Neurospora crassa OR74A: one gene and its partners. The protein of the gene in region 4 interacts with the protein of the main gene of each other region in a biochemical or structural test. Links are inferred from orthologs where the notes say so. Each region holds a gene or a part of one and is shown on either strand. Other genes may lie near its edges. The genes, in order: NCU03137, NCU02776, NCU10155, cdc28, NCU05239, hH1 and NCU09063.

The links.
Region 1: of the proteins of cdc28 (region 4) and NCU03137, one has a biochemical effect on the other in vitro, tested with the Saccharomyces cerevisiae proteins (2 studies listed by BioGRID). The link is inferred for Neurospora crassa OR74A from reciprocal best matches to the Saccharomyces cerevisiae genes CDC28 and PAH1.
Region 2: of the proteins of cdc28 (region 4) and NCU02776, one has a biochemical effect on the other in vitro, tested with the Saccharomyces cerevisiae proteins (8 studies listed by BioGRID, with this or other methods). The link is inferred for Neurospora crassa OR74A from reciprocal best matches to the Saccharomyces cerevisiae genes CDC28 and CDC6.
Region 3: of the proteins of cdc28 (region 4) and NCU10155, one has a biochemical effect on the other in vitro, tested with the Saccharomyces cerevisiae proteins (2 studies listed by BioGRID). The link is inferred for Neurospora crassa OR74A from reciprocal best matches to the Saccharomyces cerevisiae genes CDC28 and DPB2.
Region 5: of the proteins of cdc28 (region 4) and NCU05239, one has a biochemical effect on the other in vitro, tested with the Saccharomyces cerevisiae proteins (2 studies listed by BioGRID). The link is inferred for Neurospora crassa OR74A from reciprocal best matches to the Saccharomyces cerevisiae genes CDC28 and CHS2.
Region 6: of the proteins of cdc28 (region 4) and hH1, one has a biochemical effect on the other in vitro, tested with the Saccharomyces cerevisiae proteins (8 studies listed by BioGRID, with this or other methods). The link is inferred for Neurospora crassa OR74A from reciprocal best matches to the Saccharomyces cerevisiae genes CDC28 and HHO1.
Region 7: of the proteins of cdc28 (region 4) and NCU09063, one has a biochemical effect on the other in vitro, tested with the Saccharomyces cerevisiae proteins (3 studies listed by BioGRID). The link is inferred for Neurospora crassa OR74A from reciprocal best matches to the Saccharomyces cerevisiae genes CDC28 and SMC4.

What each region holds. Positions count from the first base shown.
Region 1 is NC_026501.1:4,687,487-4,691,588, forward strand, and holds the start of NCU03137 (nuclear elongation and deformation protein 1), read left to right. Parts: upstream 1-1,302; 5' UTR 1,303-1,958; coding exon 1,959-2,412; intron 2,413-2,477; coding exon 2,478-4,102. UniProt on the Saccharomyces cerevisiae protein: Mg(2+)-dependent phosphatidate (PA) phosphatase which catalyzes the dephosphorylation of PA to yield diacylglycerol. Required for de novo lipid synthesis and formation of lipid droplets.
Region 2 is NC_026501.1:9,228,405-9,232,610, forward strand, and holds NCU02776 (cell division control protein Cdc6), read left to right. Parts: upstream 1-1,406; 5' UTR 1,407-1,553; coding exon 1,554-1,614; intron 1,615-1,677; coding exon 1,678-3,692; 3' UTR 3,693-4,083; downstream 4,084-4,206. Other genes in the region: NCU02777 (molybdenum cofactor sulfurase), read right to left, coding at 1-647, 704-785. UniProt on the Saccharomyces cerevisiae protein: Plays a crucial role in forming the pre-replicative complexes.
Region 3 is NC_026505.1:1,592,515-1,596,509, reverse strand, and holds the start of NCU10155 (DNA polymerase epsilon subunit B), read right to left. Parts: upstream 2,801-3,995; 5' UTR 2,668-2,800; coding exon 1,889-2,667; intron 1,830-1,888; coding exon 53-1,829; 3' UTR 1-52. Other genes in the region: NCU04588 (hypothetical protein), read left to right, coding at 3,049-3,135, 3,253-3,752, 3,826-3,907. UniProt on the Saccharomyces cerevisiae protein: As accessory component of the DNA polymerase epsilon complex participates in chromosomal DNA replication.
Region 4 is NC_026506.1:1,088,741-1,092,812, forward strand, and holds cdc28 (cell division control protein 2), read right to left. Parts: upstream 2,801-4,072; 5' UTR 2,084-2,800; coding exon 2,047-2,083; intron 1,963-2,046; coding exon 1,278-1,962; intron 1,196-1,277; coding exon 931-1,195; 3' UTR 345-930; downstream 1-344. Other genes in the region: NCU09779 (oxidoreductase), read left to right, coding at 3,484-3,760, 3,820-4,072. UniProt on the Saccharomyces cerevisiae protein: Cyclin-dependent kinase that acts as a master regulator of the mitotic and meiotic cell cycles. Required to drive the G1-S transition. More than 200 substrates have been identified. Substrate specificity is in part regulated by the bound cyclin protein.
Region 5 is NC_026504.1:5,644,111-5,646,871, reverse strand, and holds the end of NCU05239 (chitin synthase A), read left to right. Parts: coding exon 1-488; intron 489-540; coding exon 541-1,751; 3' UTR 1,752-2,261; downstream 2,262-2,761.
Region 6 is NC_026507.1:545,801-549,327, reverse strand, and holds hH1 (histone H1), read left to right. Parts: upstream 1-1,161; 5' UTR 1,162-1,356; coding exon 1,357-1,479; intron 1,480-1,533; coding exon 1,534-1,560; exon of another isoform or gene 1,561-1,731; coding exon of another isoform or gene 1,732-1,740; coding exon 1,741-1,763; intron 1,764-1,928; coding exon 1,929-2,059; intron 2,060-2,126; coding exon 2,127-2,533; 3' UTR 2,534-3,027; downstream 3,028-3,527.
Region 7 is NC_026507.1:495,314-499,357, forward strand, and holds the start of NCU09063 (nuclear condensin complex subunit Smc4), read left to right. Parts: upstream 1-1,244; 5' UTR 1,245-1,545; coding exon 1,546-2,718; intron 2,719-2,767; coding exon 2,768-4,044. Other genes in the region: NCU09062 (hypothetical protein), read right to left, coding at 1-244, 320-558, 663-819. UniProt on the Saccharomyces cerevisiae protein: Central component of the condensin complex, a complex required for conversion of interphase chromatin into mitotic-like condense chromosomes.

The DNA of each region.
Region 1 (4,102 bases), on a different chromosome or scaffold from region 4:
ATATCACCACCGACCCCCAAGGACTGAGGACGTACTGATCCTCAGCACCGGGCAATACGCTCAGGCTAAGATTGCCGTCCATAACCCCTTACGGTACTACACGTCTTCCAGGCAGCTGGGGTAAGGCTCTGCCTTGTACTGTATGCGGGATGAAGAAAAAAGGCGCTGGATAAGCCGTGGTATCCCCAGAGGCCTCGCACCTTTGTAGATAGTGTATGTATCTTGTCTCGCCCCTTGGGCACAGTTTGGTGTCACCAGGTGTACCCGTAAGCCGATAGAAACCCGGGATACACAGCGAGAGTTGACGTTCACGGCATATCTCAACCCAGCTACCTTCAGAGTAGACGGCTGCAATACCGCCGGGAACAGACAATGGACACTCAGCGAGCGACTGCTTCTTTTTTTTTTCACAACGACAACCGCTTGTTGACGGCTCGTTGGATCACTTAATAAACGTCAGTCAAACGAGACTGACAAGGTGAGAATACGAAAAAGTTCCATTTTCAAACTCGCGGTGTCAGTGTCAGTCAGCAGGACATCAGGGGAACTTGAAGGGTACCTGGTAGTCCAGCATAACAAACATCCCCGTGACCGCTTATGACACCAATTTGTGCGGTTGGATTGGCCAGCCGTGTTAGCTCGTTGCAGACCGCCGAGGTACCAGGCTGGTAAATGACTATATTGCCGTCTTACAGGGTATCGCTAGAGACTTGCACCAAGTCGGTAAAGTGCGCGTGGGTTGATGATGGGGAACAGCCGGTGCAAATGCAGTCTTGTGCCTGTCTGCTGCCCTGACAAGAGGCCGAACTCATCAAGACAGAATTAGATCTGATTGTTGAGAAGGGAACCGCCCTCGTGATTCTGGAAGGTTGGGCGTTGGGGATGATCCCGTTTCTCATTCCGCCTCACCGGGTATGTAGAGGTGGATACCTACCTACGTATTGTCTGGTAGTTCTACTGGTTTGTTGTTAACTTGGTACCTAGGCACTCACTCGTAGAACACTGAATGAAATGTCTTCCGAGATGTCTCCAACCTGTTAAGGACTAAATGAATGGCTGGATATAGATCCAAACGGCATCCATAAAATTCAATACGGTGTAATTTAGCTCGGAAGAAGCATAATCGCCGCTTGAAAACCCACGGGGAGGTTGACCCGAGGTCTCGAGCTAACTTTCGTACCAGTATAGGTTGGACTGCACAACGAACAACCTAGCCGGTTCCTTAGTTCCTTCCCTTTTAGTTCTACTCGGCGGATCGCGATCCGTTCGCCATGCCCCAAAAAAACACAAAGTTTCTACAACACGAGCTCTTCAATTGTCGTGCAGATTTTGGTTCCTTAGTTCGAAGCATATGATTCTGAAGAAAGGGTTTGAACGCCCCCTTCGGACTTTTCACACAGTGTTTTACCGTACTGCGCATAATCAATCCACTCCCCAAGCCCAGCATCCCACTTGGGTTGCTACCTTCCTTGTCTTTCACTGCTTGAACCGCGGCAGACGTTCGTCATCAGATCCGCATTCACTGGGCAAAGTCCCCCAACACGGCGCATTCCTCAATACTTTTCTCCCGGCATACTCGCACCACCAGACGGGAAGTGAACGAGTCGGATTCACTCACGCACACCACGTTGAGTAACCATCCATTCGAGACGACAGAGCAATTGAGGCCGGGTGGTCAGAGCCTAATATCTCCCTACGCATATCGGGCGTTCATCCGGCCTTCCCGACCTCGCCCAACACACTAGAGAACCCCTACCGGTCGCCTACCGGTCGCCTACTCGAAGTCGAGAATCGAGATTGCGGTCGACATTACATAACCGTCCAGACCGCATGTAGCCTTGCCATTTGACTGCCCCCCCATATACCGACATAACCAACAAATACCCCCTCCCTTTCCCCTTTGACCATCAAGAGGGACACATCCTTCTCGACGACAGAACGAGTTGCGATTGCCTACCATGCAGTACGTCAGGAGTCTCGGCGACTCTGTCTCTACCGCCTGGAACTCCATCAACCCTGCGACCCTCAGCGGTGCCATCGACGTGATAGTCGTTGAGCAGGAAGATGGCACCCTTGCATGCTCTCCCTTTCACGTGCGTTTTGGCAAGTTCTCGCTGTTGCGCCCATCCGAAAAAAAGGTCGAATTCAGGGTCAATGGCGTCAAGCAGGACTATGCCATGAAGCTGGGCGAGGGAGGCGAGGCCTTCTTCGTCTTCGAAACTACAGACACCATCCCTCAGAGCATGCAGACGTCGCCCATCGTGTCGCCCGCCTCTAGCCCCCCGCTCAATGCCGACCAGTCAGGGCCTCTACAAGAACCTGAATCACTCGATCTGAACTCGGTAGAAGGCAAAACCCGTTCTTCGAGCTTCAACCACAGGCCTCCTCCCACTGCTCTACTAGCACGAGACGGTAAGCGCTGTGTCCAGCTTCCACGCCGCCATGATCGACATATACTGACAAGCATGGGTTATAAGGGTTGCTCACACCTCGTTCCGTATCACCAGATCCTATCAAGGGTGAATGGTCTCCGTTTCGCCCACATAGCGATGGCCTTCTGCGGCAGTCAGCGCGAAGAATGCCAAGCGATGGCAGCACCCACGAAGGTTCAGAAGAAGGCGATAGCCACACCGAAAGATCCCGCAGCCCGCCGCCGCTTACAGCACCCGAAGCTCTTCAAAGGGCAATGAACCTCTCCCGAGAGCTCGCCGCCGCCAATATCCCTAACCACATCAGCGAGACCGGAGACCTCATGTTAGATATGACTGCGTTCAAAAACAATGAGGAAGACGCCTTCCGGGCTGAGATCCTTGCGCGCAAGATTCTCACGGAGGAGCTTGATGGCAACTACGACATCGGCGCACTTTTTGGCGTTGACGAGCATGGAAACCTTTGGATCTACAGCAGCATCGAGGCGAAGGAGGCCGCCATGAAGAGGACGATGGACCCCCTACGCTCTGCATCTCACATGGGCAACATTGATGCGGCTTCTGACCCTGGGTATCAGAGCGATGCTAGCGATACCTCAGCCGCCACGACTCTACCGATCCACAGGAGAGCTGACTCTGATGTCGGCCAGATGACCCTGCAGACACCCCCAAGCTCTCCCGGCAGTTCGGCAGCGGGCGATCCCAATCGGAACTACGCAAAGACCTTGAGGTTGACTAGCGACCAGTTGAAGGCCTTGAATCTGAAGCCCGGCGAGAACTCAATGAGCTTCACCGTGAACAAAGCTACCTGCCAGGCTTACATGTTTTTATGGAAGCACGAGGTACCCGTGGTCATCTCGGATATTGATGGAACCATTACAAAGTCTGATGCGCTTGGCCACGTGCTGAACATGATCGGGCGCGACTGGACGCATGCTGGTGTAGCCAAGCTGTATACTGATATTGTAGCCAACGGGTACAACATAATGTATCTGACGAGTCGGTCTGTCGGCCAGGCCGACACTACACGAACTTACCTCGCAGGTATCGTTCAAGACGGGTACCGTCTCCCACGCGGACCTACCATTCTCTCACCCGACCGAACCATGGCGGCTCTCCGTCGCGAGATCTATCTCCGCAAACCACATATCTTCAAGATGTCCACGCTTCGTGACATCCGCAACCTCTACGGGCCCGATCGCACACCGTTTTACGCCGGGTTCGGCAACCGTTTCACGGACCAAATCTCGTATCGCACGGTCGACGTGCCCCGTAACCGTATCTTCACCATCAACTCTAATGCAGAGGTGTCACTCGATTTGCTGAGTCTCAACAAACTCAAGCTGAGTTACGTCAACATGACCGAGGTTGTCGACCATTACTTCCCACCTGTCACCACGCTCATCAAAGGCGGTGGCGAGGATTATACGGATTTCAAGTATTGGCGAGACCAGCCTTTGGATCTTGACGAGTTCTCTGCCAGTGACACCGAGGACGAGCGCAGCGGTGGCCGAAAGACATCTGCTCCGGCTGTTGTCGATGATCATGAAAGTGAGTACGAGGAGGATGACGAGGAAGAAGTTGGCGACGGTCTTGTGGACAGCTACATCTCGAGAAACTCGGTGGATGATTACGAGGAAGGAAGCGTGGCAAGTGAGGATGGGGATTATGAT
Region 2 (4,206 bases), on a different chromosome or scaffold from region 4:
ATCGGGAAACCCAAAGATTTTGTAAAAAGAGAGGACGACAAAATCGGGTGCTGTTTCGGCGTTGGACAAGTCCAAGGGGGAAGATGAAACGAGAGCGGCGGCGTCTAGGAGGGTGTAGGTCTTTCGTTTGTTGGTTGGCGATAAACTCTGCCGACAGATCTGGGAAGACCAAGAAAGGGGAAAGCGACGGCCGTCCATGTTGGATTGGGCTGGGTAGGCGAAGAGTATCGGTCGTTCTTCGTCTTCGTTGTCGTCAAAGGGACAGCTCCCAGATAACCAGTCTTCCACCTGCCGAGTGTCCAGACAAACACTACTTCTAGCCTCTTCCCGAACTCCTACCAAGCTGGTATGGCTGGATTGATGGTAGACATAGTCAAAGCCCGTGGGCAGACATCTCATGGCTTCGACAACCAGCTTGATCCCGGCTGTGGCGTTGGCGACAAAGACGAGGTCAAAGTCGGCTGGGTCGGCGTTGAAGAACTGCAGGGCTCGGAGACGGATGTCTTGGATGCGCTGGGTTGACAGTTGGGAGGAAGCTGAGGCGGAGTGGGGGTTGCCAAAGAGGTTGGTGGTCATCTCTTGGGCGAAACGGTCCATGAGGGACTTGGGATAGGGGGTGGTGCCGGCATGGTCGAGGTAGATGGAGTCTGTTTGTTTTGTGTTAGTGGTCTGGTCAAGTTGTTGAAAACGAACTTCAACTTGCCCTTCAGCATAGGATACTCTTCTTCTCTTATCTTTTCCACGTCGGCATCGTAGCCATTGTGCTGTATGTTTAACGAACCCATCTTGGAGAACAATCAAGTATCACCAAGTCCATTAAATGACAACCGGTCAACCGAGTTTGATATTTCTGTGAGATCTCTGGGCTATCGACATGGACATCTGAACAGACACTGAGGTGGATGACTTGTCATTGCCACTTGTGGTCATGATACTTGTCGATAAACACAAGCAAAGGCACCTACGGTAGTGGCGTCGGGTATTGGAGGTTTAGTTTTCTTATACGTACCGATTCGGGAGGTCCAACGGGACGGAGATCGCCACTTTCCAGCACAGCAAAGTGAAACACAGGCGGCGGTCTCCCTGCTTCAGTGGAGGGCTCCCCTGGAATGCCCCTGTGGACACTGTGAGAATAGTGCGGGGAAGTGGATACGGATCTGGAAGAGGCCCCGCTTTGACACAAGGCACGCGCCACGAAACGAACCCTCCCTAGCCACAGTCTGTGTGGCTCATGCGCAACGGGGCTTAATTGAAACGCGCAGTGCAGCGGGGAAGCCGCGTCGAGCACCGAGCTGCAGCCCCACAAATTCGCGGTCGCGTCTCCGCAATGTGGAAGTGGAATGTGCCAGGGGTGGCAGCGCGCGAACTGGAATTCTACTTTGGTGCAGTGCGACTGGGACTGAGTGCGCAAGGTTCCTCTTTCCACCTTACAACCACACAACCACGCAAGTCCATCACCACCATCAACATCCGCGCATCGTTCTTTCCACGCGATTGCCGCTTGTCATTGTGATTGTGCATTGCGACTGGTGTTTTAGACTTGACAAAAAATCATGGCCTCACCTAGCGCACCCACGACTCTGGGAAAGAGGAGAAGGAGCACCAGACTCACAGGTGAGCAGCTGCAACTGACAACGACATTCAAGAGTTGCCATCGACATACTGACAGACCACAAGACGAGGAAATCACACTAGGCCCTCTTGCCGTAAAGCGAACAAGACGCTCTCTCCGAATCCACCCAGAGATCCACCATGAGCCCGACCACATCCAAGCAGAGAAGGAGAAGGCCGCCTCACCACCCAAGCCAACTGCCGACGAGGACGTTGAGAACCACAAGGAAAACCGCAAGCCCACAGGAGACGAGGACGAGGACAGAAAGGAGGCCGAAACACCAGCCAAGTCACTTCTCAGAAGGCGCAAATCAGTCATCGCCAGCCCGCCAAAGACAGCTCCCGTCACACCTTCCACACCACGACACTACGATGTCTTTGCAAGAGTACCAGTCACCACTCCGCGCCATCGCGTCATGTCCGTTGGCAAGCTCTCCAGGCGCATGACACCAAGCACGCCCATGACACCCGCCGCTTCTCAGACAGTCTACCATCAAGCTCGCCAACTCTTTTCTCGAAGCGCCGATCCTGGAGAGCTCATTGGACGCGACGACGAGCGCGAGAAGCTCAACACTTTCCTGGATTGCTGCACCACTGCCCATCCCAGCGGCTGCCTCTACGTCAGCGGACCTCCTGGAACCGGAAAGAGCGCCATCGTCAACAAGGTCACCGACAAGTTCGCATCCGAGACATCAACAGTGCGCAAGGCTTACATCAACTGCATGAGCATCAAGTCGTCCAAGGATCTCTACGTCACCCTTCTCGACCAGCTAGTCAGCAAAGATGAAGACAAGGAGGAACTCTCAACCGAAAGCGACGTGGTGGCAGCTCTCCAAAAGCTCATCCTGCCCAGGAAAAAGACCCAGGACGTCTTCCTCGTGGTGTTGGACGAAATCGACCACATCCTCACCCTCGACCCTGAAAGTCTCTACAGCCTCTTCGAATGGTCACTCGAAAAGAAGAACTCGCGCCTCGCCCTGATCGGCATTGCCAACGCGCTCGACCTCACCGACCGTTTCCTGCCGCGCCTCAAGTCGCGCAACCTCAAGCCTGAGCTTCTGCCCATCCTTCCATACACGGCGCCTCAGGTCAAGAACATCATCATCACACGTCTCAAGAGCCTGCTTCCTGGTGGAACACCCAAGGACCCCAACTACATACCCTTCTTCCACCCAGCCGCCATCGAGCTCTGCTCGCGCAAAGTCTCCAGCCAAACCGGCGACCTGCGCCGCGCCTTCGAGATCTGCCGCCGCGCCATCGACCTGGTCGAGTCGGAGACCCGTCTGAAGCACGAAAACGAAGTCAAGGAGCAGATGCTACAAATGTCTCCCTCCAAGAAGCGCGTCCTAGGCGAAAACACCAACCTCTCCTCGGCTCCTGCGCCTTCCTCTCTCTTCCGGAGCATCTCCACTGGACCCAGCGCCAGCGTCTCGGCCTCTTTACTCAAATCTCTGCAAGCCTTGACGCCCGCCACCGCTCCGCGCGTCAGCATCGCCGACCTCAGCAAAGTCACAGCCGCAGCATTCAGCAACGGCACCACTCAGCGTCTCAAGACGCTCAACCTCCAGCAGAAAGCCGCTCTGTGCGCTCTGGTCGCCATCGAGAAACGTAACCGCGCCGCGCAGTCGGAGGCTCTTAACTCTGCTTCAGCCAGTTTTGCATCCACTACCGGCACTCCGTCGAGGAAACAAGAGGCGCCAATTGCCCCGACAGTCAAGACTCTCTTTGAAGCTTACACCAAGCTCTGCAAACAGGACTCGCTGCTTCATCCGCTTTCGTCATCTGAGTTTCGCGAGGTGGTGTCTTCCTTGGAAACTCTCAGTTTGATCACGCCAGTGGACGGCAAGACGGGATCGTTTACTGCCTTGGGGTATAGCTCGCCTGGAGTGGGGACACCGAAGCGGGGAGGCAAGAAGAAGAAGGATGTGTTTGGGATGGGAGGCGCGTTGGTGGCGGGAGATGAGAAGAGGGTGGCTAGCTGTGTGGGGGAGAGGGAGGTCGAGCAGACTTTGCTGAAGGATGATGGGGCGGGAGTGGGGATTTTGAGGGGGATCTTGAGTGGAGAGGCGTTGGATGATTGATTGATTGTGTTTGGGATAGTATTGCAAAGTTGCTGATGATTTGGACGAGTCGGGTTTCATGAGTAGGTTGTTTTGCGTTGTTGGAGAAGGAAGCATTGTTGAGAAGTACGGACGGAGCATGGCATGGCGTGTTTGAGAGAGCATTCAAAAGTATATCATAGGGAAGGTGTTTGGATTCGTTGTAACCCAGGACAAGGGTTGGTGTTTGGCGTTTGGGTATTTGTTTGGTTTTGCGTACTTGTTTGCATTGAAGACAAAAATGGGGAGCAGGGGCACAAAAGTCCTCATCATCGGCATTAGTACCTATCCATTACATAGACCTGCCGTCGTACGTACATAGACAGACACACATTGATACACACCAAAAAATGAAGACACTTTACAAAAACCACTTTTTGACATCCATCCATCCATCCATCCATCCATCCATCCATCCATCCATCCATCCATCCATCCATCCGTCCCTTCCGGTCTTATTAGATAGGTAAAGGTAGATGTGAACAGCTCAGGAACC
Region 3 (3,995 bases), on a different chromosome or scaffold from region 4:
AAGGCAGATTTTTCTCCAGACAATCAAACATTTCACTCGAAATGTGCAAAACTCAGAATGTACACTCCCTAACCCTCCCTCCACCCGTCCCCGTCCCTCCCACTCCCGGTAACTCATACTCAACCCACCGTGCCGCCCCCTTCCTCCCCGGCACTAATATGCTCCCCGGATTCATCACGTGGCACCCCTCATACGTCACGCAAAACGGCGGAGCGGTAGTATCCACCAGTACCATGGCCGTCGGCAGCGGGTAGAGGTACATGGCGGAAGTATAGTCCCAATGTACCGGGCGGATAGCTTGCCGGAAAGGAGCGAGATAGCCTTGGTCGAGAATGGTTTTCACTAGCTTGCGGGCGGCGAGGACGTCGTAGGGTATGGAAGATGGAGGAGGCATGGTAGTCTTTTGGTTAGGGGCAGGGGCAGAATCGACATCCATGGCGTCGGTCATGGTTGTGTCGGCCATGTCTTCGTCGTCAGCATCGGGGGCGTCGGGGAGGGAGGAGGGTGGACATTGGTTATCCATTGCCGAGTCGTCGTTACCATTGGTTGGGGGTTCCGGCTCGACGGAGGCTTTGCTCGTGTTCTTAAGACGGACAGAAGCTCGTCGTAACCGGGCGGAGATGTCATCTCGGAAAAGAACCATTTCGTGACTAGGCCCGAAAAGGGTTATCCTACTTGGGTTGGTTGTCCAGACAGCTTCGCCGCCTCTCCTCTTGCCTGCATCCTTTTCTGTTTCTTTGCCAGGGTTGGCTAGCCCGGCTTCAGCATTCGCTGCTGCGAATACCCTCCTGATGCGGGAAGTAAACAGATCTGGGACGGGTTTCCTCGGCAAAGGAGTTGCCGCACCACCTGAGAAGGCAGACACCCACCCGTCGTTGTCACCTGGCACAAAAACAAAGGTAGCCGTCGTGAGCAGACTAGGGAAATCCGCCAGTGTCGATGCCAACGCATCGAAAAACTCCTTGTACTCAATACTCCCCCCACTCCCGCCCCTCGCCATGACAGCATGCTGCGTGAAGTTACCCGCCAGCACAAACGTCATGGGTGTACACCCTTCAGGATCACTAGCATAGAGACCCAAGATTTTTCTCAGTGCCTGCAAACTCCTCGGCTGATCTAGGTTTAGTTCGCCAATAATCACTGCCCTACCCCTCGACGGCCTGCCATCCTCCAACAGCGCTGGTTGCCGAAGAATTCTGTGCTCCAACTTGCGCATTTTGGACCCGACTGCCCTCTCGCTACCTACGCCCAGGAAGTCGATCCAGCCGAATCCGCCGCCAATGGTATGATCAGCGCCGGTGCCGTCGGGCCCACTAACCCCGAGCGTAACGCGGCGCTTTTCGCATGGTGGCTGGCCGATGAAGAAACCTTGGAACCGGCCGCCGATGGTACCGCCCACACCGCTGCTACCACTGAGACCGTTGCCCATGGTCATGGTTTCCTCCTCCTCTTCGTAGACGCCGTCGATGAGAACAATCATTCCCGGCGTAAACCAGGCAGAATCTTCAGGGATGGCGACAGCGTGAGAGAGGTCGAGAGTAATGGTGCCCGTCAGGTCGCTGATGGCAAGAGAGCCAGTGGGAAGGACAACAAGCATGCCCAGCAGCATGTGGTTGCTGCCATGGCGGCCGAGCAGGTTGGCGATTGGGGTAATCTTGTGGGAGGAGAGGCCGTTGGCGTTGGTTCGTTGGCGCAAGCTGGAGCCTTGGACGGAGGAGGATTGAAAGGCTTCGTTGCGAAGGATGCGCTGATGAATAACGTTGTAGCGGTTGCGGAAGGCATCGGTTTTGTGAGAGGCGGCTGGTAGTAGGGAGGGTTTGGAAGGATCCCTACAAAGGTTAGCTGTGTAACCTATGTAAAGAGGGTAATAAATAATAAGGGACCATACCTCTCAAAATGCTTCTTTCCAACATTATACATCAACCGTGGTTGATCGAAAGCATGTATAACCTTCAGCCACCTCCTAACATCTCTCACCGAATCGTCTTCCGGCTCTTCTGTGAACTCCAACCCAGACATGCCAAAGCTGGCGTTGCTGTCCTCCCGGGTTAATGATGGCACGGGCCGAAGTCCGAGTCGACTATGCGCATGTTGTTCGTCTTGGTCGGGCTCTAGCAAGAGACTGTTTTGTCTGCTCAAGCTTCGTGGCCCGGTCAGGATCTTTCCTCCGCTCATGTTTCCCTCGAGGGTCTTGAGAATGTCCTTGAGCTCGGGGCTGTTGCCTTCCACGATGACGCCGCCATTGCGGTTCTTCCAACTCCTTGCTACCTCTTCTAGCACCTTTTCGGCCAGGCCTTCTTCCCTCCATCCTGAGCCACAGTGTCTACCGATAAAGGTTGCGAGCTCTTGTAGGGCAGTTGATGTAAGTGTTAGGCTGTGTTTCTTGGTAAACGTTCGGAAGGCGAGCGGTCGTAGTGTCGCCGGCGGAAGGATGATGGGCAGGATTGCGGCTTTTGTGAGGACTGGGGGTTGGAACGGCTTCAGTGGATGTACTGGAGTAGCGAAGGCGGGCGAGGACGAGGGTATCGGGTTGGATGGGCCCGCTGGGGTCTTGGGCGCAAAGAAGCCGGCGGCGGCTGCTGCTTGTGGCTGCGGTCGAGATGGTCTGTCTTGGGCGTTTGTCTGGCCGGTTTTCGTCCGCTTTTGGCGGGGACTTTGAACGATCATTGTGTCTGTGGTCTGGATAGCTCGACTAAACTTGCAATTTAGTATAGTCGGTTACAATTGGCCGTCTACCAGTCTGTTCGTGGTGGTGATATCCGTCATTGTCACTGTCTGGAAGACGCGTAAATTGAGAAACGAAGCAGGGGACCAGACGCGTTCTAGTGGGGCTCACCCCAGATTTCAGCCAATACGGGCTCCACAATGTCAGAAACAGGGGCATCAAGGGCCACCTACCCTGGTTGCCGCCGGCAGCGCTAGAGAGGTACCTACAGCAGGTACCTACGCTACAAGTAGACGCACGAACAGCACCAGAGTGACATCAACTAACTTTTGACGCCATCACCAACCTTTTCATTCTCGATATCAGATTCAATACAGCCAGTCATGATGCTTACTACAAGATTTCGTGTAGTTCCTACGCTACGAAGCGCAGTCAGGTCATTCACGACCTTGCCGTCCAACCCAAACATTGCAAGTCATCCATCCACCTCTCCACCAACAACCCCACCCGCACTTACACCACAACCCCCATCCTCACCACATCACCACACAACAACTCAAACACCATACTAACACCCATCACCACAGAAAGTCTTTCCCCACCCAAACGACCCAAAAAGCTACATCCTCTCCCTCCTCCCCACGACCCCTCCCCCACCCACCCTCTCCATCGGCACCACCACCGCCCTACCCCCAACTCCCCAGTCCTTCACCACCAACCCCCACTTTCTTTCCATCCTCAACTCCGTCCTCGCCGAACACGCCTACTCCGACCCCGGTCTTCAATCACAAGCCCAAGCCTTTGCTTCCCCAGCCGGTTTCTCCTTCCTTCCTCGTCCTGGCTCGAGAAAGGTAGGCAAAAAGGGCAGCGACACGGGCGCCGGCGGGGCGTCAGCGGAGGGAGGCGCGGGAGGCGCGGGCAGGGGAGGATGGGTGCACTTGAGTGATGAGAGGACGCCAGTGGATTTCGGAAGGATTGCGTGGCCCGAGGATATCTTTGGGAGCGTGGAGGTGGATGGGCAGGGAAAGATGATCGAGGGGACGTTCCAGGGGAGTGGGACTTATCGGGTTGTTACGAATCAGGGCATGTGAGTATTTTTACTTTGGTGAGGTGAGGTGAGGTGGGTTGACGTGGTTGCTAACTGTTGGGATTGGTTACAGCTTGGGACTAAGTCCGTTTTTGATGGAGAGGTTGGTTGCGAGGTTCAAGGAGGAGGAGGCGAAAGAGAAGCAGAAAGCTTGAGAGGAGATGTTTGGGGTTTGAAGGATGTGGGTGGTGAGAGCGGATGTACAATAGGTGAGCGGTCCGTTTGATGTGTCGCTACACTTCA
Region 4 (4,072 bases):
ATCTGTCTTGTTGAGTGGTTCCCAATCCACTGACGTGATGCTCTTTTGATAGCTGAAATGTTGGGAGCCAACCGCTTGGTACAGGCTTGAGTGAGCTAGGCTTTTCTGAAAGCATTCTTCATTAGCGCTGTCAGCATGACGATGTCTGCAGTCCCATGTGCTGAGGTACCATTTGCTCAGTCTGATAAAAGCGAATGCCTACAATGTTGGGGGACATGTAATGCGGTGGTGTGAGCGCTTGTCGGAAAGAAAGACAGCCAAGAAGGCAACATGAGAAATCGATCAATGGCAACATAAATCCGAGCAGGGAGAAAGAAATGGAGCACATCAAAGATGAAGGAACAGCCGACATCACTTCGCATCTCCAAACGAAGGACCTGTGTTTGGACAGGGGAAAGTATGTACATGCGAGATTTATTGGAACAATGTCTTGCGCCTTTTCCCTGCCTGTGTACAGTACACTTCACACCACAACTCCCTAATATGCACCAGGGCTAACAGAAAGCCCCATCCCTTGAATGCCATTTGCTCTTCCAGATAACACCGAATCGTGTAATACAGAACTCCATTCCAATGTACTTCCTTTACCCATGACCCCTTTGAACGCTGTTCCCTAAAAACACAACCCTACATACAACAAAATGTAGGTATGGGGAATTTGATGTGTCGAATATCATGTTTCCGAGTATCCTGAAAGCAAAGTGGGATGCTATGATATGCTTCAGGTGTGATAATGACAGTTTGTTTCTGTCACCGTTTCGGTGTGTCGACCTCACTCGCTACTGGTAGAATCACAAAGACTGTACCCTTGCCACGAACTGCCCACTTTGAAGTCACCGAGATCCAACCGAACCTAAGCAGCCGGCTGCAAAACTTGGATAGTCGATCTGCTATTGCCTAACGCTCCTGCTTCGACCTTGGCGAACGTCCCTAGGCGTATCTGCTGCTGTCGCGGTATTTGCTCTTTGGCTTGGGGTTGTAGTCTTCAAAGTAAGGGTGATTGCACGCTGCCTTGGCAGAGATTCGGCCAGCAGGGTCGTAGACAAGCATGGATTCAAGTAGCTCAAGACCGACATCGTCGAGGTTTTGGCAAAGTGGTACGTTGTAGTCGCGTACCCACTTGGGGAAAGATGCCTTGAAGTCGGGATAGGAGGTGACGCCGGGCCAGATGTCCTCAGTAGGGGTTCCAAGCAGACTGTTTGGAGGAAAAGAGGTCAGTATAGCGGACTAGGGGAGAAGCAGAAAGGTGCCAAGAAAAGGTAACTGCATAAACGTACCGGAAGATCTTGAAGATCTCGTCAATTTCCGAATCACCAGGGAACAAGGGCTTGCGTGTGCACATTTCGGCAAAGATGCAACCAACGGACCACATATCGACACCGGTCGAGTACTGACGACCACCCAGCAGGATTTCGGGCGCACGGTACCACAATGTGACGACCTCGTGGGTATAAGTACGGAGTGGAACACCAAAGGCGCGGGCGAGACCGAAATCTGCTAGCTTCAAGTTGCCGTCGCGGTCGATGAGCAGGTTCTGGGGCTTGAGATCGCGGTGTAGGACACGGTGGCTGTGGCAGTATCGGACGCCCTCGCAAAGCTGGCTCATGAACTTCTTGATGATATCCTCGCCCAGTCCCAAATTGTGCAGTCCGGCGCCCGTTCCTTCGGGGAGGGCCTTGCCCCTACCACCGTCGCTGACAGGAAGGGCCTCCATGTACTTCTTCAGATCAAGATCGAGGAATTCGAAGACAAGATACAGCTTATGGCCTTGACCGCCGTCGGCGTGGACAATGTTGAGGAGACGCACAATGTTGGGGTCGCGCATCTCCTTGAGCAGCGAGATCTCACGGATGGCGGTAGAGGGGACGCCCTCATCTTCGGCTTCGAGGCGGATCTTCTTGAGGGCGACAATGCGCCCGCTGTTAGCCAAGTCGCGGGCCTTGTAGACGACACCATACGTTCCTATGCGGAAGGTGGAATGTCAGTACGGGACATGGAAGGAAGAGAGCCAAGGTGGAGGGGTCGAAGAAGAAGGGGGTGTTGTACCCTCGCCAATCTTTTCCAGCTTCTGATAGTTCTCCATGGTTGCTCTGTTACCCGTCCAGGCCGCTATACTGAGATGGGTGGTTTGAAAGTCCCTGGAGGGAAAGAATTGACTTTGCCCGGAGTCGTAGAACTACTAGTTGGGGTTGGTGCCTGGTGTTCGTGGTCGTCGTGGTGGGGGACGATTACGACGAACGATGTTGTACCTAGCGCGCTGAAGCACAGTGATTGATGGAAAAGCCCAGAACGAAGCGTGGGGCGGCGGCGGCGGCGGCGGCGGATGGAGAAAGTGACGGCCGTCGAAGGGTCGCCTTCTTGAGATTGATTGATCCTTGGAGAGTCAAGGTCCAGCCAAGGATAGGTGGTGTCCAAAGGGAGCGCAGTGGCGGATTGGTAAACAAAAACGAAAAAAGGTGGAATCGTCCGTCGTTGCCGTCAAAAGGCTACAGTACTAGCTACCGTAAATACTTTGTTTTGGTGTTGACTTTTGGTGGTGATGATGGTGCCGTGAATGGTCGACGGGTCGTCCTGGGCGGAGGGCTGAATGCGAAAGGCCGCTGATGAAAAGGCAATATGATGCAGCGAGCGATGTAATTGTCGTCCGTTGTTCCTGCAACTTCTTGATACTAAGGGACCGTGATGGTGAAGGGACAGAAATCCAAGGAAGGAGAGGCGGTGGACGTGCAAGTGGAAGTTGAGGTTGTGAAGTTGTGGTTGTCGTTCGAGTGTCGGATTTAGAGGGCAGTCCAGGGGGGTGGTCCGCTGTACTGTAGTGCAGTAGGTAGGTTTTATTCCAGACGGGCATCCGAGTGCAGGTGGTTGGAGACGGGACGATTACGTCTTAGACTTGGCGCTTGCAACGGAAATCCGTGTCAACACAAAAAGCGCGGACCGCGACGGCACCATGGAAACCACTCACTGGAGGGACGGACTGCAAGGGAGGAATGAACGCGTCCAAAAAATGCCCGCTTTCCTCGTCGGTAGGTACTCCGAGTTCAAGGTAGGTAGGTAAACTTTCAAGCAATCTAGGTACATATGTACCACCTCTACCTAGTTCTAGTAAGTACTACTACTTGGAGCATTGACTGTACCCGACAGCCCACCAAGATGGGGCAGAATACGTAGGTACCTTCTAGGTAGCCACGATCTCTAACTGTTGACTACCCCTGACTTGTGGCGCCATTCAGAAGCTCCAGCCATTCAGACGCCCAGCCCAGCCTCAGCTCGACGCCCACACATCAATCCATCTCGACCATCCGTCCCGTCTGAAGCTTCACTCGAGTCCCCACAATTTCATCTCACGATACTTCCCTACTCCAAATCCGCAACGTCACACGAGGACTCGGAAGGAGTCAACTTGTATACTCATATCCATTTCTTCGGTCACTTTTCTGTTCTCTTTTTGGATATCTCGCTCAAAAGAACTACCCGACTTTCAAGATGATGGGTGGACACCATGACCTGGATGCGCACGAGCAGCCGTCGGATGAGCTGCGGCTCAAGTGGAAGTCGTTCGCCAAAGTCGACCAGAAAATCGTCATGAACAGCCCCGAGATCGATGACTTGCGCAGTCCCGAAAAAGCCCCCGAGTTTGTGCTCGCTGGCTCCATTCCTACCGAGACTTTGAACAGGTCCTTCAGCTATATCTGCCCCGAAGACTCACCAGAGTTCCGCACAGACAAGGACGCCCCCATCTATTACCATCCTCTCTTGCCTGGTGAACTCAAGATCCTGGACCCCTCTTCCTCACGAATCATTGCTGACCAACCCCAAAAGGTCTCTTGATTCTCCCAAACCTCATTCCCCCCGAGGTCCAAAAGACGCTACTGCGCAACATCATTCACCGCGATCTCAACCAACCCCATCACCAGACCAACATGCATCTCCATTTCAAGCTCCCCTACCCGCCCGTGGATCCCGAAACAGGCCTTCAGGAATCCTTCTTCTCCTACCCTCCAGATTCCGAGACGTGTTTTGAGCCAAAGGACCCTTCTGTACACAAGCCTCTCACTTTTCAACAAGTCTTCAA
Region 5 (2,761 bases), on a different chromosome or scaffold from region 4:
AGCCTTGAACCCGAATGTGTGTATCCTCCTAGACGTCGGCACCCGCCCCGGCGGCACAAGTCTCTACCATCTCTGGAAAGCCTTCGACACGGATTCCAACGTGGCGGGGGCCTGCGGGGAAATCAAAGCGATGAAGGGGCGGTTTGGCGGGAATTTGCTCAACCCTCTGGTGGCTAGTCAGAACTTTGAGTACAAGATGAGCAATATTCTGGACAAACCGTTGGAGTCGGTGTTTGGGTACATCACGGTGTTGCCGGGCGCCTTGTCGGCGTATCGGTACCATGCGCTGCAGAACGATGAGACGGGCCATGGGCCGTTGAGTCAGTATTTCAAGGGCGAGACGCTCCATGGGCAGCACGCGGATGTGTTTACGGCGAACATGTACTTGGCCGAGGACCGAATTCTGTGTTGGGAGTTGGTGGCCAAGAGGGGTGAGAGGTGGGTGTTGAAGTATGTGAAGGGGTGTACGGGTGAGACGGATGTGCCTGGTGAGTTGCCCCCCTTTTTTGCTGTGTGATAAGTTATACTAACGAGTTGTAGACACCGTCCCGGAATTCGTCTCGCAACGTCGTCGTTGGCTCAACGGTGCCTTCTTCGCCGCCGTCTACTCCCTCGTCCACTTTCGACAAATCTGGAAAACCGACCACACCTTTATGCGCAAAGCCCTTCTCCACGTCGAATTCCTCTACCACCTCCTGCAACTCCTCTTCACCTACTTCTCCCTGGCCAACTTCTACCTCGCCTTCTACTTTATCGCCGGCGGTCTCGCCGATCCCCACGTCGACCCTTTTAACTCGGACGGCCACGTCGCGCGCATCATCTTCAACATCCTCCGCTACGTCTGCGTCCTGCTGATCTGCACACAATTCATCTTGTCCCTCGGCAACCGTCCGCAGGGTGCCAAAAGAATGTATCTCGCATCCATGATCATCTACGCCGTCATCATGGTGTACACCACCTTCGCCACCATCTTCATCGTCGTGCGACAAATCCAACCCTCTCAAAAATCCGACGACAAGCCCGACCTCGAACTCGGCAACAACGTCTTCACCAACCTGATCGTCTCCGTGGCTAGTACCCTCGGGCTCTACTTCGTCATGTCCTTTCTCTATCTCGACCCCTGGCACATGTTCACCTCGGCCATCCAGTACTTTGTCCTGCTGCCTTCCTACATCTGCACGCTCCAGATCTACGCCTTTTGCAACACCCACGACGTCACATGGGGCACCAAAGGCGACAACGTGATGCGCACCGATCTCGGAGGCGCCATTGGCAAGGGAAGCACCGTCGAACTGGAAATGCCTTCGGACCAACTCGACATCGACTCGGGATACGACGAATGTCTACGTAATCTCCGCGATCGCGTCATGGTCCCTGCCGTTCCCGTGTCCGAGGACCAGCTGCAGCAGGATTACTACAAGTCGGTGCGCACGTACATGGTGGTGTCGTGGATGGTGGCCAACGCGACGCTGGCCATGGCGGTCTCGGAAGCGTATGGCGATTCGGAAATTGGGGATAATTTTTACTTGCGGTTTATCCTGTGGGCGGTGGCGGCCCTGGCGCTGTTTAGAGCGTTGGGGTCGACGACGTTTGCGGCGATTAATCTGGTGAGTGCTCTCGTGGAGGGCAGGGTCAGGCTGAGGTTGAATATGAAAGGGTTTAGGTGGATTAAGGAGAAGTGGGGGGATGCGGATGTGAAGGGCAAGTTTGAGGGGTTGGGGGATCGGGCGAGGGGGTTGGCGAGGCGGTGATGTCTTGTTTGTTTGGGATTCGATTCTGTTGTTTTTCATGATTTTCATGCCTGCTGCTGTGATTACGTTGTGGTCAGGCAGGCAGCGAGCAGCAAGCAGCAAGCAGCAAGCGAGCGAGCGAGTTCGTTTTTTTCTTCTTTTTTTGTTCCTCTTCTTCTTCTTTTCTTACGACGACATCTCACGACGTTACGAGATTCTTCTTTTACTTACTTACTTACTTACTTACTTACCTACCTTTTACGGATGGGTGGGTGGGGATCATTTGGGACTAAGGGATATGGAAAGGGCTGGCGGCCTTTTTGATGGATATAGTACTGGTTTTTTTTTTTTTTTCTTTCACTGAGTTGATGATACCACATTATTGTATGGATTGTTTGTTTGTTTGTTTGTTTGTTTGGGATGGATATATAGGGCTCAGCTGGCTAGCTACCTACTAAGGATACCAAATGATTTTGATTGATACCATTACTACTACCACCACCACCACCAATTGTTTGGTATAATTTTGAGGATTACATACAATAACTGTCAATGGTTAGGTAGGTTACTTCGGTCCTTTCTTTACTATGTACGTATATATGTATGTATGTATGTATATATGGTTGTGTTGTGTTAAGAGAGAGAGATGTGTTGGGTAGGTACATACATATACATACATAGAGAGAAGTACCGGCCGAAAGTTGATGACAAAGTTGGGTGGGTGTTGGTTGTCTCCCTTGCTTCCTTGTCCCTATTGTAGTCGGTTCTAGTTCACGTCCACTTTCACTGAACTTGGAGAATCAGGAACTGATCGTTCGTGGAAAGAACTTTCCGTTGTGCTCTAGAGGTGCCGATATTCTATTCTGTTCTAGTTACTATTCACAGACTGGCGGGACCGAAATGACTGCGCTGCGATACGTGTGGCGGGGAGGAAGTGGATGGACTGGGGGTTAGGTAGCCTAGTTGGTCAAGGTTGTGCGTCTGTCTGTCATGAGTAGTGTAGAATAACATATATGACTTGTAGATGGGGT
Region 6 (3,527 bases), on a different chromosome or scaffold from region 4:
ATTTGCAAGGTCAGTAGCAGTCTAAGCGACTCGGAGTCGACTTTTTAAAAGCAGGTCCGCATCTGCTATGTATCATGATCCATTGGGATCTGTTGTTGATAAATAAGCAATCGGGCAGCCATCCGGGGCTTGAGTGAAACAATGGTGAGTAACAAATTGCTGTCGAGTCGTCGGAAGCATGAGGTAGTGTAGCCATGCAATGATTCATCCTGTTGGTTGACGTTGCTTTCTTGTTGAAGAAGAGAGATAAATAGATAAATAGAAGATGATGGGATGGGCGAGATACCGACTGAATCTGAGAGATGGGATGCGGGATGGATGGATTGATGCCCTGCGGCTTCGATTGTGCCAACCCAGCCAGCCAGCCAGCCATGCCGACCGACCGACCGATATGCGACATGCCATGCCACCTCACACACACAGGCACACTGATAACCTGCGAGTCGACGAGGAGAGGTGACGGGCGGCAGAACATGCTTCTTTTGGGGCCAGTGAATGATGCCGTGTCCCACCTTGGATCATCCAATCTGTCCGGACCAGACTCCATCTGGAATGGACATCCATCGGCATCCGCACTCCCCTGGACCCCAATCGGTTTCTAAAAAGAGGAGAAACGGAAGAGGAAAAGGGAAAGGGAAAAAAAAAAAGAAGAACAAGTGGGATCGATGGGACATGGGACAGCACCACTGCATCTCCAGCCGAGTCCATGGAAACGGGAAGACAAGGGGAGGGGGGGGGAGAGGGAGAGGGAGGAGGGGGAAGGGGAAGGAGAAGGGGATGGGGATGGCGACCGAGAGGATAGGTACCTACTGTAGGGACGGGAAATCTCATCGACAACCACACAACGAAGCATCGATGCTCTCGAGGTCTCTTCCCCTTCCTTCATGAGACAAGCGAAAAGGAAAAGGTCCGGAGCCCCAGCTTCCACATCGTGTTGACATGGAACGAGGGAACAGGAATCGGGGCCACTGGCCGGCTTCTTTCGTTCTTTCAGCGTGTGTTAGTGGGGTGCACGGGCCACATATCCCCGGGAAATGGGCTGGGGGTAGCGGCTTCCAGGAGGTCACAGAGGCCCCCCCCCCCAGGTCGCAGGGGGAGACGGGAGGTCCGTCGGGGCAGGGGCAGGGAAGAATCAGCGAAATCACTCGGTCGCGCCAGGAGACCCCGCCTCCGTATATAAACACCCAATCTTCCCCCCTCGAGCGCGACTGAGCCCACCCATCCTCCTCTCGTCCTTTGTTTCCCAGTCCACGATCCAACCTCAACTGAACCTTTTGCACGCCCCTTTCATCCAGTTGTATCTTCAGCAAGATATCCTCAGCCTCCAGCCCTAAAACCACAACCACATCCATCACCATGCCTCCCAAGAAGACCGAGACCAAGGCCGCCGATGCCTCTGCCGCCGCCGCTCCTGCTCCCGCCGCTGCTCCCACCTCTGCTCCCAAGACCAAGAGCCCCAGCACCCATGCCTCTTACCTTGTAAGCTTTACTTAATCCCCAAGAGAAACGCATCTTTTGCTAACATTCAAACAGGACATGATCACGGACGCTATTGTTGCGGTATTTAAACCCCCTCATTATCTTTGTTGTGGCGTGTTTTGGTTGTGGGCGCTTCTCTGGTCGGTGAGCAAAATGAGACAATTGCTCTCATGATGCACGCAACCAAGAGTCACCCACACCACTCACCACCCTTTTACTGTCCCTCAGTCGTGCTGATTCCTTCTTTTTGTCATGCTACAGCTCAAGGACCGCGCTGGATCTAGGTATGTGCCATTTTTCTGCTTACTTTTCTCATTTTTTCACCAGGGCTTTGCCAAGCCACACCGCAAACCTTGCGGGCCCTTCCTACGGTCGCACCGATGACCACTTTCATTCTTATTTCCATGACGCGATGAAGGATCACAACATGTTGCTAACGCACACCACAGCCGTCAAGCTCTCAAGAAGTATGTCCGTGCCAACAACACGCTCGGCAACGTCACCGACAACATGTTCGACTCGCTCTTCAACAAGGCCTTGAAGAACGGTGTCGACAAGGGTGTCTTTGAGCAGCCCAAGGGTATGTCACCACCCACATGACGCATCATCTCCTTGTATTACTCTTTGCATGCTCACACACGATATAGGTCCTTCCGGTGGCACCAAGCTTGCCAAGAAGGTCGCTAAGCCTGCTCCCAAGAAGGCTGCTCCCAAGAAGGAGACCAAGGAGAAGAAGCCCGCTGCCGCTAAGAAGGAGGGTGCCGCCAAGAAGGAGACCAAGGAGAAGAAGGCTCCTGCTGCCAAGAAGGCGGCTGCCCCCAAGAAGGCTGCTGCTCCCAAGAAGGAGGTCAAGGAGAAGAAGGCGGCTGCCCCCAAGAAGAAGGCCGCTGCTCCTGCCGTTGCCGACAAGGAGACCGTCCTCACCAAGACCAAGTCTGGCCGTGTCGCCAAGAGCACCGCTAAGCCTGCTGCCGCCAAGAAGGCCGCTGCTCCCAAGAAGGCTGCCGCCAGCAAGAAGGCCGAGAAGGCCGAGCCCGCTGCCGAGAAGGCATAAACTCGTTCCTTTGGGATGATGTTTTTGTCTCTTTTTTTGCGCCTCGGTCTCTTCTCATGATGTCTTTAGTCATTTTTTCACCACCACTTGCGATGTGACGGGCTTACTCGAAAGGCGTTTGGGGAATCATATTGCTTGGGAACACTTATCAACATAAGGGGGGGTTTTCATTGGTCTACAAGTCAACGCGTTTTGCTCTTTTTCACAACATCGCCACAGCGCGCGCGGGGGGTAGCTTCTTGTTTCTGGCTTTCATGTATCTTGGATTCACACATCACTCATGGGGATTGAGGAGGTTTGGATCGTTTGTGCTGAAACGCAACGGAGGGTAGGTTTGGGCTACAACCTATGGATGATTGGGAAATGGGAAACGGGCGACCGGCGGCTTCGAGGGTGTCTCAAGAAGCGAAGGACATACACCAAAAAGCCTTATCTTGGATACTGCATTGCATATATAATCCGTCTTGGAACGATACCACTTTTTCTTCTTCAAATACCCTGAGCAAGCGCTTTGCCCTTTTAGTTTGACATGGCTACCTGACGATTTCGCAGTGTAGTTCTGAAAAAGCCGAGAATTTGGTTTGATGAATACGAAGTTTGGAGCGAAGGACCTTGAAGCGATGATCTGGCGGTCTGGTAGTGATGCTGAGTCCAGAGGCGAGAAGGCGGCTTCAATCGCTTCATTGTATCTGAAATATATCACGAGGGATACCCTATTGCTACGACGAACGAAATTCGCAAACACTTTTTTTTTTTTTTGATCATATTGCAACAAATTATCTAAGTTTTGTGGGGTGCGGTGAAAAAGGATTGAAAAGCAAGAAGCGAACTAAGAGTTGGCTGGGACGAGCACAACAACGGGGATCCGGCCGGTGGGCGGGAACGCGACTATGGTTAGGTTGTGGGCGGCTCGCTCCTCGCTCGCTCCCCTGTTCCAGGTTTGTTTACAAATTTGATGCCCCGACTTTTTTTTTGCCGGCAAAACACCCAAAAC
Region 7 (4,044 bases), on a different chromosome or scaffold from region 4:
AGCGACGCGAGAAATCGAGTGCTTCGGTGACGTTAGTACGAGCAAGAGCGCCAAAGAGCAGCTCGAGAGCCTCGGATGAAGTAAAGACGGGCTGGGCGGCGTGGAAGTAGGCGAGAGCTAGCGTGTAATCGCTCTGACTGGTGGAGCTGCGCTTGTTGACGAGCGGATGGCGGACAAGGGCGATGGTGATTTCGTCGGCGAATTCGGTGGGGAGGGATGGGTGGGTTAGGTTTTCGATTGCGTACTGTTTAGCAGCGTTTGTTAGCGTCTTGATGTCCAGTGTGCAACTTAGGTTCCAGAACCAAACGGACGTCCGCACCTTGAACTCCATGCGATCCATGTGCCACAGGCCCCTCATAAGGATCTGGTACTTTTTCGGCAGTCCCGTCTCCTCAGCAAAGCTGTCCGCCCAATGCGAACGACCTGGATGGACGTCATCATGGTCGAGGAGGAGATAGTAAAGAACGGATATCTTTTGGATCGACGAGGCGCTGCTCTGGCAGATTTGTTGGTGGAGGGAGCGCAAGCCGTTCTCACCTCTGGGCGGATATGCAGTGCCTAGAGGTAGTTACAGTGGTGATTAGCGATGAAGCGCGCTATAACGACAGGGCATGGGTTGTTAGGGTGATTAGGTGGTAGTGTGGTGTTTACACTACACTAACCTTGGGCGATGCCTAACCGACTTAGGACGCGATCCACAAACAGGACGCCGCCCAATGATTTGCGGAAAGTCTCAATGGCACTGGCTCCCTTGTGATCGTAGGGGTTTATGAATCCCGGAGAGGGGAACACGTTGTTGTATTCTGTATAGTCGAGCATCGTGATGTTGAAGTTGGATTGCACAGTTGAAGTGCCCAAGTGTCCTTAGCTGTTGAATGAATTGAATGGAAAGGGAAAAGGGAAAATCGAAGGGATGGATGAGTGCCGTCATGGCCTGGGATACATGTATGCAACGGCCATCGGGTCCGTCAGGTCCATCCCCTGCACCTGGAATGGAGCCTTCCCCGGATCTGTACCTGCGCTAGGTAACGGCCTGTCTTGGCTTATCGATAAGGTAAGAAAGCCGTAAGCGCATGGAATGTTTGTTACACAGAGCGGGACTCCACCAGCCTGCCACGCATGCAGTGATAGCGCAACACGGTGCGAGCGTTCCAGGCAGCGGAGGGGTCGCCCGCTGCAGTGCACGAATTGCATTGGCTGCCCGTGGCTGCTGTGGCTGATTGTTTACCACCGCAGTCACGGTATTGCAAGAAGCGTCCGTCCAAAAACTGCCCTGAATGTCAACAATCTAACCGCGGCGGGGCAAGGAAGAAGCTGCGACAGCACTCAAAGAGTTTCTGCGTGGGCGTCCCATTCCGTGTCTGTCGCAACAACTGCCCTGCGAAATGTGAATACCATTTTTCATCTTTACTTGTTATTACATAAACTTTCACTCCTTGGTTGTCTGATACCCGCATCTTGCAGCGCTTTCTGTTCCATTCTGTTCTGTTGTTTTCATCATCGAGTCGAGAATTTGCAGGCCGAAACCACCGACAGACATCAGTCATGTCGACGCGCCCATCGCGTCGGGCCGCCGCAACCAGGCGCGCCGCCATCATCGAAGAATCCTCATCAGACGACGATATCGCAAACACCACATCGAGAGGCGCCCAAGATGACGACGAGGAGGACGATTATACACCCGCGCCAGCTTCGGCAGCCCGCAAGACTGCTCAGCGAACCACCAGAAGATCCACTGCCACGCCCGCTCCTAGGGCAGGAACACCAGCAGCAGCATCATCATCAACTGCACCGGCACCGGCACCAAAAGCTGCGCCGAAAAGGCGCGGACGACCTAAGAAGAATGCCGCGCCCAAACCCAGCAAAGAGCCCAGTGTCGAACCGAGTGTCGAAGCGAATAACGATCCCCAAGCCGAACCCGAAGCCCCAGCGCCTGCCGTCAAGCCAAAGGATGAGCCGATCGAGGAGGGTATCGACCCCAATGTGACTGTCGCGTCTGCCGTTTCGCCCGCTACAACCGCCGTGATCGCGGAGCCAGAAGCACGGGATACGCAAGAAATTCAGTCACCCCCGCGGAAGCGTAGAACTCTTGTGCGGCGCCTCAGCAGATCGCCAGCAAAGATCATGCAGCAACAACTCGAGCTGCAACAGCAACAAGCCAGCCGTCAAGGGACACCAACGCCAGGCTCTCCGTCAACTCAACGCGTCGATCGCCAACCTGCTCCTCTACAGGACATCACCCAGACCCTCATCAACCTACCACCTCCAGCGACCGCGGCATCAGAGACCCTTGTCAACACACAGCCAACATCAACAGCAGATGAAACCGTCGTGGCGGCCCAGAAGCCCGTCAGGGCTATGGATACTATTCTGGAAAAGCCCATGGATATTGTGCTCAAGTCACGGACCATGGCTCTTCCCGTCGTCGAGGATACCGGCCCGAAGCCACGCATTGTCATCACCAATCTTGTGCTCATCAACTTCAAGAGTTACGCCGGTAGACAGGAGGTCGGCCCCTTCCATGCTTCGTTCTCTTCGGTCGTGGGTCCCAACGGTTCTGGCAAATCCAACGTCATCGACTCGTTGCTGTTCGTCTTTGGTTTCCGTGCCAGCAAGATGCGACAAGGCAAGATCTCGGCCTTGATTCACAATTCGGCGCAGTTTCCGAATCTCGACTACTGTGAGGTGGAAGTGCATTTCCAGGAAGTCATGGACTTGGTAAGTCAAACATTGTTTTGAAGGGGAGTCATTGTGCTGACATTGATAGCCCGGCGGTGGCCACGAGGTTATCCCCGACTCAACACTCGTCATCTCGCGCAAAGCATTCAAGAACAACTCGAGCCAGTACTACATCAACGGCAAATCATCCAATTTTACCACCGTGACCACGCTACTCCGCGACCGTGGTGTCGATCTGGATCACAAGCGTTTTCTCATTCTCCAGGGCGAAGTCGAATCGATTGCCCAGATGAAGCCCAAAGCCGGCAACGAGCACGAAGATGGTCTGTTGGAGTACCTAGAAGACATTATTGGCACTTCCAAATACAAGACACCAATTGAAGAGTCGGCCACCGAAGTCGAAACCCTCAACGAGATCTGCATGGAGAAGAGTGGTCGTGTCCAGCACGTGGAAAAGGAAAGGAACAGTCTCGAGGACAAGAAGAACAAGGCGCTGGCGTATGTTCGCGATGAAAACGAACTGGCGCTGAAACAGTCGGCTCTCTACCAGCTATACATCAGCGAATGCGACGACAATATTGCTGTCACAGAGGAGGCTATCGGTCAGATGCAGGCACAACTTGACGCTGAGCTTGAGAAGCACCACGGCAGCGAACAGCTCATCAAGCAGTTGGAAAAGGCCTACTCCAAGGGTAGCAAGGAATACGACTCTTGGGAGAAGCAGACACAGCAGCTGGTCAAGGAGATGAACAAGTTCGAGCAGGAACGCGTCAAATTCGAGGAGAAGCGGAAGTTCTTGACGGACAAGCGTAAGAAGCTTGAGAAGACGATCGCTAACGCCGAGAAGACGGCTGTTGAAGCGGAGGAGACCATTCAGAACTGCACCAAGGAGATTGAGCGTCGTCAAAAGGACATTGTTTTCCTGGAGAAGAAGGTCAAGGAAGAGGAGGCCGAGCTTGCGACGATACGTGAGAGCCTCAAGGGCAAGACGCAAAAGTACTCGGATCAGATCGCGGCAAAGCAAAAGTCTCTCGAGCCTTGGAAGGACAAGATCAATCAGAAACAGTCCGCCATTGCCGTTGCGGAGAGTGAGCTGGCCATTCTCAGGGAAAAGGCCAATGCCGGAACTGTGGCCCTTGAGGAGATGGAGACGAAAATTGTGGCCATCCAGGAAAGGCAAGCGGCGAAGGCGGAGGAGATGGAGCAGTGCAAAGCTGAGAGAGCGAACCTGATCAAGGAGGGCAAGAAGATCGAGGCTGAACTTTCCAAGCTTGCGGAGGAGGAACCCAAGTACCGGCAACAGCTTTCGAATGCCCGCCAAAAGGCTGACGAGGCGCGGTCGAGCTTGTCCGCCACACAAAACCG